3 linked regions of the Coturnix japonica genome follow. The main gene of each other region encodes a partner of the protein of the gene in region 3 in a complex. Links are inferred from orthologs where the notes say so. Each region holds a gene or a part of one and is shown on either strand. Other genes may lie near its edges.

What was found.
Region 1: GATB (region 3) and GATC share a complex: the UniProt entries of both Homo sapiens proteins name them as parts of the heterotrimeric GatCAB amidotransferase (AdT) complex. The link is inferred for Coturnix japonica from reciprocal best matches to the Homo sapiens genes GATB and GATC.
Region 2: GATB (region 3) and QRSL1 share a complex: the UniProt entries of both Homo sapiens proteins name them as parts of the heterotrimeric GatCAB amidotransferase (AdT) complex. The link is inferred for Coturnix japonica from reciprocal best matches to the Homo sapiens genes GATB and QRSL1.

Annotation. Positions count from the first base shown.
Region 1 is NC_029530.1:8,238,653-8,242,228, reverse strand, and holds GATC (glutamyl-tRNA(Gln) amidotransferase subunit C, mitochondrial), read left to right. Parts: upstream 1-1,347; coding exon 1,348-1,527; intron 1,528-2,000; coding exon 2,001-2,167; intron 2,168-2,242; coding exon 2,243-2,346; intron 2,347-2,641; coding exon 2,642-2,697; 3' UTR 2,698-3,044; downstream 3,045-3,576. Other genes in the region: TRIAP1 (TP53-regulated inhibitor of apoptosis 1), read right to left, coding at 946-1,029, 1,203-1,349. UniProt on the Homo sapiens protein: Allows the formation of correctly charged Gln-tRNA(Gln) through the transamidation of misacylated Glu-tRNA(Gln) in the mitochondria. The reaction takes place in the presence of glutamine and ATP through an activated gamma-phospho-Glu-tRNA(Gln).
Region 2 is NC_029518.1:61,914,996-61,918,649, reverse strand, and holds part of QRSL1 (glutamyl-tRNA(Gln) amidotransferase subunit A, mitochondrial), read left to right. Parts: intron 1-1,365; coding exon 1,366-1,542; intron 1,543-3,350; coding exon 3,351-3,526; intron 3,527-3,622; coding exon 3,623-3,654. UniProt on the Homo sapiens protein: Allows the formation of correctly charged Gln-tRNA(Gln) through the transamidation of misacylated Glu-tRNA(Gln) in the mitochondria. The reaction takes place in the presence of glutamine and ATP through an activated gamma-phospho-Glu-tRNA(Gln).
Region 3 is NC_029519.1:29,502,149-29,505,802, forward strand, and holds part of GATB (glutamyl-tRNA(Gln) amidotransferase subunit B, mitochondrial), read right to left. Parts: exon of another isoform or gene 3,283-3,654; intron 3,275-3,282; coding exon 3,141-3,274; intron 2,782-3,140; coding exon 2,703-2,781; intron 1-2,702. UniProt on the Homo sapiens protein: Allows the formation of correctly charged Gln-tRNA(Gln) through the transamidation of misacylated Glu-tRNA(Gln) in the mitochondria. The reaction takes place in the presence of glutamine and ATP through an activated gamma-phospho-Glu-tRNA(Gln).

The sequences.
Region 1 (3,576 bases), on a different chromosome or scaffold from region 3:
GGTGTAAAGCTCACACATAGTCCATGAGCAGTTTCATAAGCAGGTGAGGTCCCCCAAGAGGCGGGACAAGCTGCCGGGGCGTTGAACTTCTCAGCTGTGAAGCTTCAGTTCAGCATCACTGTCACTCAACACTTTGATTATCTCAATCAAAGATGTAACAGGAGTTGTGGCCAACCTGGTGCTGTGTGGTCGTGTGTGCAAAGACAGCCAGGCCTGCGCAGTTCTACTGCAGTGACACATTACATTACAGGAGCAAGAACTCAGATTCAGGATCACTTCAGTACCTCGGAAAAGGCCAAAGAAAGTGGCCTCTGCTTTCACTGTTTCTTCAGTTCTGTTGCAGGCTGCCTCTGTCCCTCCTGGAGGTCATAATCAGACGTTACCAAACAGTCATCCACCTGAACAAAATATAACTTCTTACATTTATTTCATTTAAGCTATTGCAAATCCAGCAAAAGTGCTTTTACACCATCTCTGTTACTGGCAAAACCTGTGCTTTAGGCCCTTGGTGTTTGGGATCATATAAACCAGCCTCCTTCCACCCAAATTCAGCACCACAGAGATAAGACAGAGTAAACCAACCTTCTTGTTAGACGCTTCCTAACATCATAAATAAGCAAGATAAACGGGTCAGAGATTAACTACAGGTTCAACATCTCCCATTATAAAGTACATTCGACAGAAGTTAAATCATCTTTTTGCACTGTTATAAGCCGAACCACCACCACGATTCATTGGGAAGGAGGCAGCAGGCAGCACACCGTGAAGTCTTTTGGCTCGCGGCAGTTTGTTTCTACAGGCACAGAGGAAACCCCACTTCCTACAGTGCTACATGGAGGAAGCAGCTCAGCAAAGCGCTGTCCCGGTGCATCCATCCTGGCTGCTGGGTGGCCGCCGTTCCCAGCCCGTGGGCTCGTATCACTGACTCCCCGCATTCAGCTGAAGTCAGGAGGAGTTTTCAGCTTTCCCTTTGCTCGGGCCCATGAACTCCAGCCCTTCGATGGGGATGTCCTTCTCCTTGATGGCTTTCTGGGAAGAACAACAACAAAACGGTTACGTTGGAAGCACGTTTCAAACGGCACCGAGAAACAAAAGCTTCTGTTCACAACGTCATCTACAAACAGCAGCGTCAGCACCGCCCCGCACGGGCTGCAACGGCACGATGCTGGGCTGTGAAGGCGGCGGCTCGGCAGGGCCCGCACCTGCACGCACAGCTGGTAGCGCTTGAAGAGCTGCCCGCACGGGTCCCCGTCGTTCTCGCCCTTGAGGAACTTCTCTGCGAACCAGCGGTTGAAGCACTGGTCGTACTCGCGCTTCAGCTCGGTACACGCCTCCCCCACGCTATTCATGGCGGCACGGCCCCTCCGACACCGCTACGACGCGATTCCGGCGCGTAGCGATGACGCCACAAACCGCTTCCGGCGGCGCGAGATGTGGGTGCCGGGGTTATGGCGGGGACTGCGGGGCGGGACGGTGAGAGCACTCAGGATCAGCGTGTGCACAGCCAGCGCCGCGCCGACACCGCAGGTCAGACAGAGCACGGGGCCGGGCCGTAACGTACCATGCCATGCCATACCCATACCTATAACCATCACCATACCATGCCATACCATACCATACCATACCCATACCTATACCCATACCCATACCTATACCCATACCCATGCCATACCATACCATACCATACCATACCATACCATACCATACCATACCATACCATACCATACCATACCATACCATACCATAACCATATCATAACCATACCATACCATAACCATACCATAGCATAACCATACCATAGCATAACCATACCATAGCATAACCTAACCATACCCTACCCTAACCATACCATACCATACCATACCATACCATACCATACCATACCATACCATAACCATACCATTACCATACCATACCATACCATACCATACCATACCATACCATACCATACCATTAGTGGAGGTAACGGTTTGAGGAGCCCCATCTGTGCTCTCTTGCAGGACGGCGTCACGATGGAGGTTCTCGACCACCTGGAGCGCCTGGCCCTGGTGGATTTCCGCGATGCCGACGGCGTGGAGCGGCTGCGGGACGCGGTGCGATTCGCGGAGCGGCTGCGGGAGGTGGATACGGAGGGTGTCCAGCCCATGGACTCGGTGCTGGAGGACAGGTAAGGGCCGTGTTGGTGCCCCGTGCACATCCAGCCCCAATGTGCTCCATGCAGACCTCCGGCCGCTGTCCTCAGGTGTCTTTATCTGCGGGAAGATGACGTTACCGAGGGGAACTGCACGGCACAGCTGCTGAAAAACGCCACGGAGAAAGTCGAGGAATACTTCGTAGCCCCACCAGGTACCATAGCTTCTATAGAACTTTTGCATCGTGCTCGAGTTAACCCAACACCTTCCAAAGTAAGGGATGACTCTAATCATCTGTACTAACAAACCAAACCTGGAGCAGGCTGCAAGCTATTGAGCCTAAAGCAGTAGAGGGGTTAATGTTACCTTACAGCTCCTGCCCAGCACTGCTTACAGGAAGGCAAACAGAACTTCCTGACTTCCCTTACATGCTCACAAATCAGACTGCAGTAGCACTGTACGTTAAGCTGCACTGCTCACTGGTCTCTCACAATTCTCTTTTCTTCCAGGTAACATCCCTTTACCAGAGATGGAAGAACGAGATACTTTCCTGAAGGGCTCATAGAGACAGAACCCAAACGCTGTTTCTATATTTCATTTGGGATTACTGCGCTTTGTGTGGGGACAGCTGAAATACCCCAGGAGGGCAGAAACTCCTCCTTAGATCAGAACTGAGTGTCACCTACTTTACACAGTGCGTGTTCTGTATCTGTTTGTAGGGAAAAAAAGTCACTCCCACTTTGCTTCTCTGTGTTTCTGTGTAATGAACAACACCAGCTTTGTGTAAGCGTTCCTTGGCAGAGATGCTAAACAGCCATAATTGTAATTATTTTTCCTATGGAGTCTATATTCTGCATCCCTACAAACAAGACGTGATTAATAAACCAAATCTCTATGCCAATATCAAATTCACTGCAAAGCTTGAATATTAGAGCTTGTGTCAGGTGTGTCAAGAATCAGACCCTGCAAACCCTCCCTTAAGCACAGCCTGGTGAGAGGACAGACCGCCTGATGCTTGTTCCCTGCAGCCTCAACTGTCTTACATGTTAAAAACACATATTTCCTTAATGAAGGGGTTTGTAACAATGTCCTCGCTAATGAGGGAATTACAGCCCTGACTCAGATCCCCACAGCTTGCACATTAGGAGCCCTTGCATAGGGTGGATGAGCTGCCTATGGGGCAGCGTGTTGGTGTCTCTGCTCCCCCCAGCCTGTGTAATGAGTTGGTGCTGCCCTGTGGGATGGCTGAGCTGCACCCAGGGGGAGGAGGCACCCCTGGCTCATATCCTTACGTTGTTCTGCTACAAAACAATTGAAAACAACAGGTAAGTGAGGCAAACATAACACATCTCTGTCAAACAACTGTTCTTCTCAGTGGTTTGTTGCAGCCAAAAGCAAAAGGTCTGTTTGGTTAAACAGAAAGGAAGGAAGCCACGTTCTGAGC
Region 2 (3,654 bases), on a different chromosome or scaffold from region 3:
CTGTGGTACTGTTGCCTAATATTAATGAATTCAGCTAGGAGAAATTGGAAATCACTGTCACAAATTTGTCCTCTGACAAATCATTGAAGGCAGCATCCAGTAGCCTGGGACAGCCCTAATCAGAAACAGAAGCCTGTGTCACCAGATCTACTGGGTACTGAAAAGATGTGCTTTAGTGGCCATGGTGGTAATGGGTTGGCAGTTGGACTAGATGATCTTAGAGGTCTTTTCCAGTCTTAACAGTTCTATCAATGTCCAGGGCTTCACCTACCAATGAGAAACATTAAGTGTTGCGTTTTGGCTTTGTTTTTATTTTAACCAAACCCATGCCTTTGGCTTAGGTGGGTTGAAATACTTTGATTGGATCATTGTGGATAAAGTCATTTCCATGTCAGAGATGTGCCTCAGAGGGAGAGCAGGGAAAAAGCACAGGAGAAGAAAAAACAACCAACCCCGACCTCCCCATTATGCAGGGTTAGAAATAATTTAAGCTCGCTTGAGCACAGGATTCTGCTAAGAAGAGTTTTTTCACCCCTGGCCTCTCATTTCTGTACTGTGTATTTTCACAGTCTCATGCCATCACCAACATGGCTGCACCATCAGCTTGATGAGAAAGCTGATCCAGCTGAAAAGCAGTGTCTCAATTAGGTTCATTTTCAACTGCCAGCTCAGCTGATTTGGCTAATAACACCAACACTATGGAGCTGGAGAACCTGAGGTAGCAGTTGCAAGGAAGATGGAAAGCCCCTCCCTGCTTCTGGTGGCAGCCTGCATCTAGATTACCACAGTCTGAAACCAGATTCCAACAAGCCAGTCTAACACTCTGAAGCATCGAACTATGACCTCAGGGGAGAGCTATAGAGCAAGAAATAGTGGGTTATTTACATTGGAGCACTTGTTGCCACTAATTGTGGGGCTTTCCCCCCCTCCTCCAGTGTCCCACAAGGCTGTGGTCATCTTTGTGTGCGTTTTCCAAATGCAGGCTCAGGAAGCCAGAGTACTTTTGTTTTGTAGCAGATAGTTTTACCTTTAGGTACGTTAAATCTGTTTCATATTTTTGTTTGCATCCTTTCCAGTGGCATTAGAATCACAGAATGGCTCATGTTGGAAAGAACGTTAAAGCCCACCTGCTTCCAACCCCTGGCCACCAACAGGGTTACCACCCACTAACAGATGCTGAGGTTCTGTGGTAGTGAAGGATGAATATTCCTTTGAAGATCTCAACTTGTGCATGTTGTCTGTCTGTACTAGACTGTACATAGGTCAGACTTTTTGTGTTGAAAATGAATGAGGAACTGGATAAAGAAAAACTTGGAGAATGCAACGTGTTGTCTGTCACTTCTGTCTGTCTTCATTCTGTTATAGGTCTGGGAGTACAGATGGGGTATTTGGACCAGTCAGAAATCCCTGGAGTTATTCAAGACAGTACAAGGAAAAAGTTGCATCCAGATCTGATTCTGAGCCTGAAAACTCTAACTGGGTAATAGCAGGAGGGAGCTCTGGAGGCAGTGCAGCTGCTGTATCGGCTTTCACGTGCTTTGCGTAAGAAGCTTTTTAGAATTGTTTCTAATTAAATGCCTTGAAATATGCTGCAAGGTTTTGACTTAATAATTTTCTAATAATGTAGTTTAAATTGTAGAAAAGCTGTTGATCTTCTCTGAGATGGGAGCGTTGTTTGCTCTGGCATGTGAGAATTCATTTCAACATCATTGGTTTTTTGTGGCATAGCATGAATCATAGAATCATAGAATGACCTGGGTTAGGAGGGACCTCAAGGATCATGAAGTTCCAACCCCTCTGCCTGGCAGGGCCACCAAACTTCTACAATTACTAGATCAGGTTGCCCAGGTCCCCATTCAACCTGTCCTTGAAGCCAGCATGATTTCTTGTAGGCGGATTTAGGCTTATTCATTTAGAATGTTGTTCAGTGTAGTGATGTAACTGCTTTGCACTGCATGAGGTAAAAAGTGATAATGGCAGTAAAGGAATGACAGCATTATTGTTATTCCCACATACTCTTAAAAACAATGGAGTTTGAGACATATCTTCTACCTCTTTATGTTAAAGACGTACACACTGAAAACTTAATTCAGTATGACACAATACCTGTCAACTTATAACAGTATAGAAATCTTTCCTTCTGGCCTTTGTTTTTATAGCTGAGCGCGTGATAATATAAGTGAGATTTGACGTCCACAAGCTTTCAAATACCCAATTTGAAAACAGGAAGCCAGTTTATAAAGATATGTGAAGGAGAGTTTTAGTTTATTCAAAAAAGATCGTATTTTTTTTACCACAATTATCTGCATGGAATTGCAACACACTATTAAACTGACTGATTGTTTTTATCTCTTCCTCACCCATCTGTTAAAAGAAATCTGTTCCTTAAAAATTCACACTTTTCATTTTATGCAGTTTTGAGAGCTACATTTCAGAACATATTTTCAGTTGTGTTCTTAACTGGGAGATGATTTAAGTAATCTTTAGTTATTATGTCTTTGTTTACCCTTGTACTGTATGTGTCTGCTTGTTAAACTATTTTTGCTCCCAGTGATTACTGCTTTAAAAAAAAACACACATTTTTATGTATAATACTTAAGGTTATATTTTTTTAGTCTGATTATAGTACTTCTGTTTTAAGTGGTCTTTGAGTTTAAAGTCACTAAAAACAAAAGAACCTTAATTTCAATGCAACTTTAAATTCCGCTGAAATTTTTACAGTGACAATTTCAGTTTAGAACCAGGTTTCACTTGTGAAGAAGCAGTAAAAGAATTCAACTTAAAGAAGAATTGCATTGAAACTACACTAAACTGGAAGTTCTACTGTACTTTGTAGGCTTGGAAACAGGAAGAACCTCTTACCTGGACTTTGAAAAGCATGCCTTGTTATTTGGGGCAAAAAGCATACTGTGTCACTGCTGCTTTGTATGCTGGAGCGTGATACTTCATATCATCATTCATTAGTGAAGAAATAATCATGAATATCTGAAAAATCATAAAATAAGCACAAGACATCTTTCACAGACCACAGAATTGGAACAGACCAACTGAGAAGCAGGAAGTAGGTATTTAGGGCCCTATTCTGAATGCCCGGTTTCTATTTGTCTACCTCTGATTTGTAGGGAGAACCAGTCTCTCCTTGTGGCTAATTCAGAGGCCCTAAGAAAAATGCTGAAAACAGCTGAAAAATAGCAGATGTAGGGCGTAGACTAACATTTAGATTGTCATAACCAGACTTTTAGTCAGGAAGAACTCAGACATTTAAATCCAAGCATCATAAAGCCATAAATATTTATTGTTTGGAGATACTCTCAATCATTTTACTAATGGCAATCCTTTTGAAACCATAGAGCTTTAGGATCAGACACAGGAGGATCTACCAGAAACCCTGCTGCTCACTGTGGTGTAGTAGGTTTAAAGCCAACATATGGACTGATCTCTCGCCATGGTCTCATTCCTCTAGTGAACTCCATGGATGTGCCAGGAATCCTAACCAGATGTGTGGATGATGCAGCAGTTGTGCTAGGTATTACTACTACATATATCTTTGCTCAAAGCAAGCTGAATTTCATCTACCCAATATAGGTTTTCCTGTTCTTCAATGTGTCATGTCATGTTTCAGGTACACTTGCTGGACATGACCCTAAAGACTCT
Region 3 (3,654 bases):
TGTCTGGCAGTTGTCCCTCAGCCTCTGACAAAAGTGAGGGGCAGGCTGGGCTCACTGCTCCAGATGGTACGACCGTAATAGTCAAAGCAGATGCTTCTGTTTAGGTTTGTGTACTGTACTCATTTTCCTGCTACCTACTTTGAAGTAGGGGTGCCAAGTGGGTCTGTTGAAGTTATTCTTGTGAGGGTGACCCATGCAACCACACAAGCAAACAAGACAAGGGGCCTGCTCTTCTCCACACCCTGCTCAGGTCCCCAATAAACACACAATGGGGTGTTTCCACAGGGTTGCTGCAGCTCTCAACAGCCAAAGCCTCGTTCTACTTTCCTGACCCAAGAACCACCTTCCTTCCACAATGCCCTCGCTGAAAACCAGGTTCCTTCTGCCACAGATGTGCATACTGCCAAGCCCTAACGGCGAGCAGTGAGGTCCAGCTTTGGCCATACTCCCATCAGACCAGTGTCAGTATAGTAGAGTTGCATTCCACTGTTGACATCCAAATGGTGCCTCCAGGGGGAGGCCATGCATAGCGTGTGCCTGTGCAGGCCTCCCCAGTGCAGGACATGCTCACTGCACAGCCCTGCACACCAGCAGAGCTGTAGGCTGCTCCCCTTTATACAGGCATGCCAGCATGAAACCGCTTTGGAGGCCTCTGGGGTAGGATGCTATATTTGATGGCAAGCTGGGCGTGAGCTCCGTAATTACCCAAGTGGTAATTATGTAAGCACACCGTGCCCTTTCCTTGGCATATGCATCCTACCATACAATGTTCTGTGTCTATAATCAGCACTCGCAGCTTTTATCTGTGTTTTAATGCCTTATACAGCAGAGACTGAACACAATCCTCTTAACAAATTAAAACTTCTAACAGCTTCCTGCTGCGAGCACGTATGTGTATGCAAGTCTGTGTGCTCACCCCATCAACCCTGCTAGTGCTTCTAGTTGGATCTGTCTCTACCACTGCAATTCGTTCTCCTCCACTCCGAGTGCTGCACTTCATCTGCTGTTGTGTATATATATATAGCCCCTTCTGCCCTCAGGCCATCCAGCATCTCGGCCTACTGCTGAGAATTGTTATAAACATTTGTTATTCTTCTGACATCCAGGCAACCAAAATACTTTTCTAAATGTGGCGAGGTTCCTGCAGTTTGACAGCATCACTCGGTGATGGCAAATAGGACTGTTATTTCTCTGTGTCCAGTTTCAGAACGCAGAGGACAACATGCACATTACAAGGAGTTGGTAATTAAACAAGAAAGGCATCTCTGAAATTCTTGACATTTCATAACCTGTCAGAAGTGCTGGCATACAGATTTATCACAAGGAAAGGACTCCAGTGGAGGGGCATCGGTACCTCTCTACCTCCAGAAGGAAGCAGAGTTTAGAACGGAGTTCTGAGCTCCTTTTCAGATGCAGACCCCAAAATAACGGGTGTCCCATTGCCCTGCAGGCACACAACTGCTCTGCATCCCAGTGTATTTCCCTGTTAATATTTTATATCCTTTTTGAAGCTTTTGCTTTTCCAGTCCAAAATTTCCAGATGCACATGCCTGAAGTCAGGCACTTAAATCTGTATTTACGGTGCCTATAAAAAGCAGCTGGCTATTCTGAAGAGGAGGCCAACATCATCAAAATCCACAAGTACCTCCAAAAGAAACCCCCCAAAAACAGGAAGTGTTCCCAAGTAGGAAAAAGAGCCACACTTGCAGCTCTGGCTTTAGAATCACATCAAGAGTGAACTAATGCCTGTATTGCTTTAAAGTTGTACTCGGACTCAATCAACATGTGCTAGAAAGGCGGAAACGTGCCTTGTGCAGAGAGGTAAGAAACTTGAAGAGAGGTAAAAGCTAGAAAGCAGGCAAGGCAAGTATCTTCAACAATTTTGCTTACAGCCACCTGAGGAAAAATGGTTAACTAAAGTATTTAAATGCAGAGCACAGTAACTCACCTGAAAGGACAACAAACCCCACATAGAGAATTTGAGGAGAACGGCAGTTATCTCCTATCACAAAAGAACTCCAGATTCTGCCCAGTAAGCACCAGAGTTACCTTACCATCATAAGCAGTTCATAAATTAAGAGATGAATGTGTGAAGTGCTGGTTTTTCAGACTGTCCTAAGCAAAATGATAGAGGGAAACTGGCTTTACAGACACTCCTTGCTAAGGAGACTCTTGGCAGCGCTTGCTATAAGAAGCCAGGATAAAAGAAAGGTCAAATGTCTCTGTGTTAGACTCACGGAATGCACCATATCAGACTTTTTTTTTTGTGACTACAGTCAGGTGATTGATATCCTTTTCCATACACCAATACTGGACAATATAGGCTCCAGTATCCCTTTGGACATACTAGCTGATACCCTCAGCTTAATTGCAAGCCATGGATTAATTCCCACCAACCTTTCCTCAGGTGCTACTCAAGCTACCAGACTGAGATGTAGCATCTGCTTTGTTCGGAAGCAGAACTGACTTAACTGACTGTAGCTTAGAACTACTGTTTGGTTTATGCCCCCTTATAACACTAAGCACGAAAAGATATTACACTACACAAGGCATTTTCATCCATGAAATGTATATGGCACAGATGCAAAATTTATCCTTCATCAACACCTTGAATAATTTAAAGCAACCAATTCGTTGGTACTCAATGAATGCAGATGGAATAAGCATTGGTGGATTCAAAGTACAGCGAAATCAAAAAATACCTGCTTGGCTGCTGAAGAAGAAATGTCTCTGTTTTCTAGAAGGTTCAGAAGGTCGGCTAGGAGAAAAGAACTGATGGGGCTGTGGAAAAGGGGGACAGGAGTTAGAGAAGAGGACAAGTAACAGATTTATGCCACTGTTGCTTGTCTAAATGTCACACAGTTTAGCATGACAAGCTAGTATTTTTTTCCCCCCGTGATACACCATATTTTGATCTTGACTGCCTGATTATGCCTTATCATTGCCCTCTTCTCTGGAAGGCATTTGGTTAACTTCATTAATCATGACAGTGTCAAGGCCTAAGCAGCACTGCCTAGGATAACCAACCTCACAGATGATAACTAAAGCAGAAGTCAGCATCAGAGTGACATGATACTGTTCTTGGTACATGAGAAAAGGAGCAATTTTATTTCACCACTGTTGTAACTGAGAAGCCTGACCTTTCCTTTGCTGTAAGGGAATGTTGTTTTAAGTGACTGAGTAGGTCACTCAGAATCCAGCCGATCACTTTCTTTGGCTTCATTCGGGTCTGTTTTACCACACTTTCAAAGAATTCCATTAATCCATCTTCATTCTGTTAAAGAAAAATTAAATGCATCAGATACTGAAATGCAAGCTGATTAATTACACAGTTTGAGTCAGACTAGAAATGCTAAAGTAAACTAAAGAAAGTAAGAAAGCTGCAAGACTATGGAGTAATATTATAATAAGTAAACAAACTACAGTGTGCCTAGAATGCACGCATACAGCTTATCAGATGTCAGCCTGCTCTAACATAACTTCCATAGTTGAGTGATCTTTCTCTCACATCTTCCTTTAAATTAATACCTGGGGAGAACCTTTTTCATCTTGTCCTTTGTCTTTAAATTTTAATATAATGCTCCATACACAGTCTCGCTATCATTTACCAAAAAAAGACTCTGGCTGAAACTGCCTATAGACACCTCACTCTTG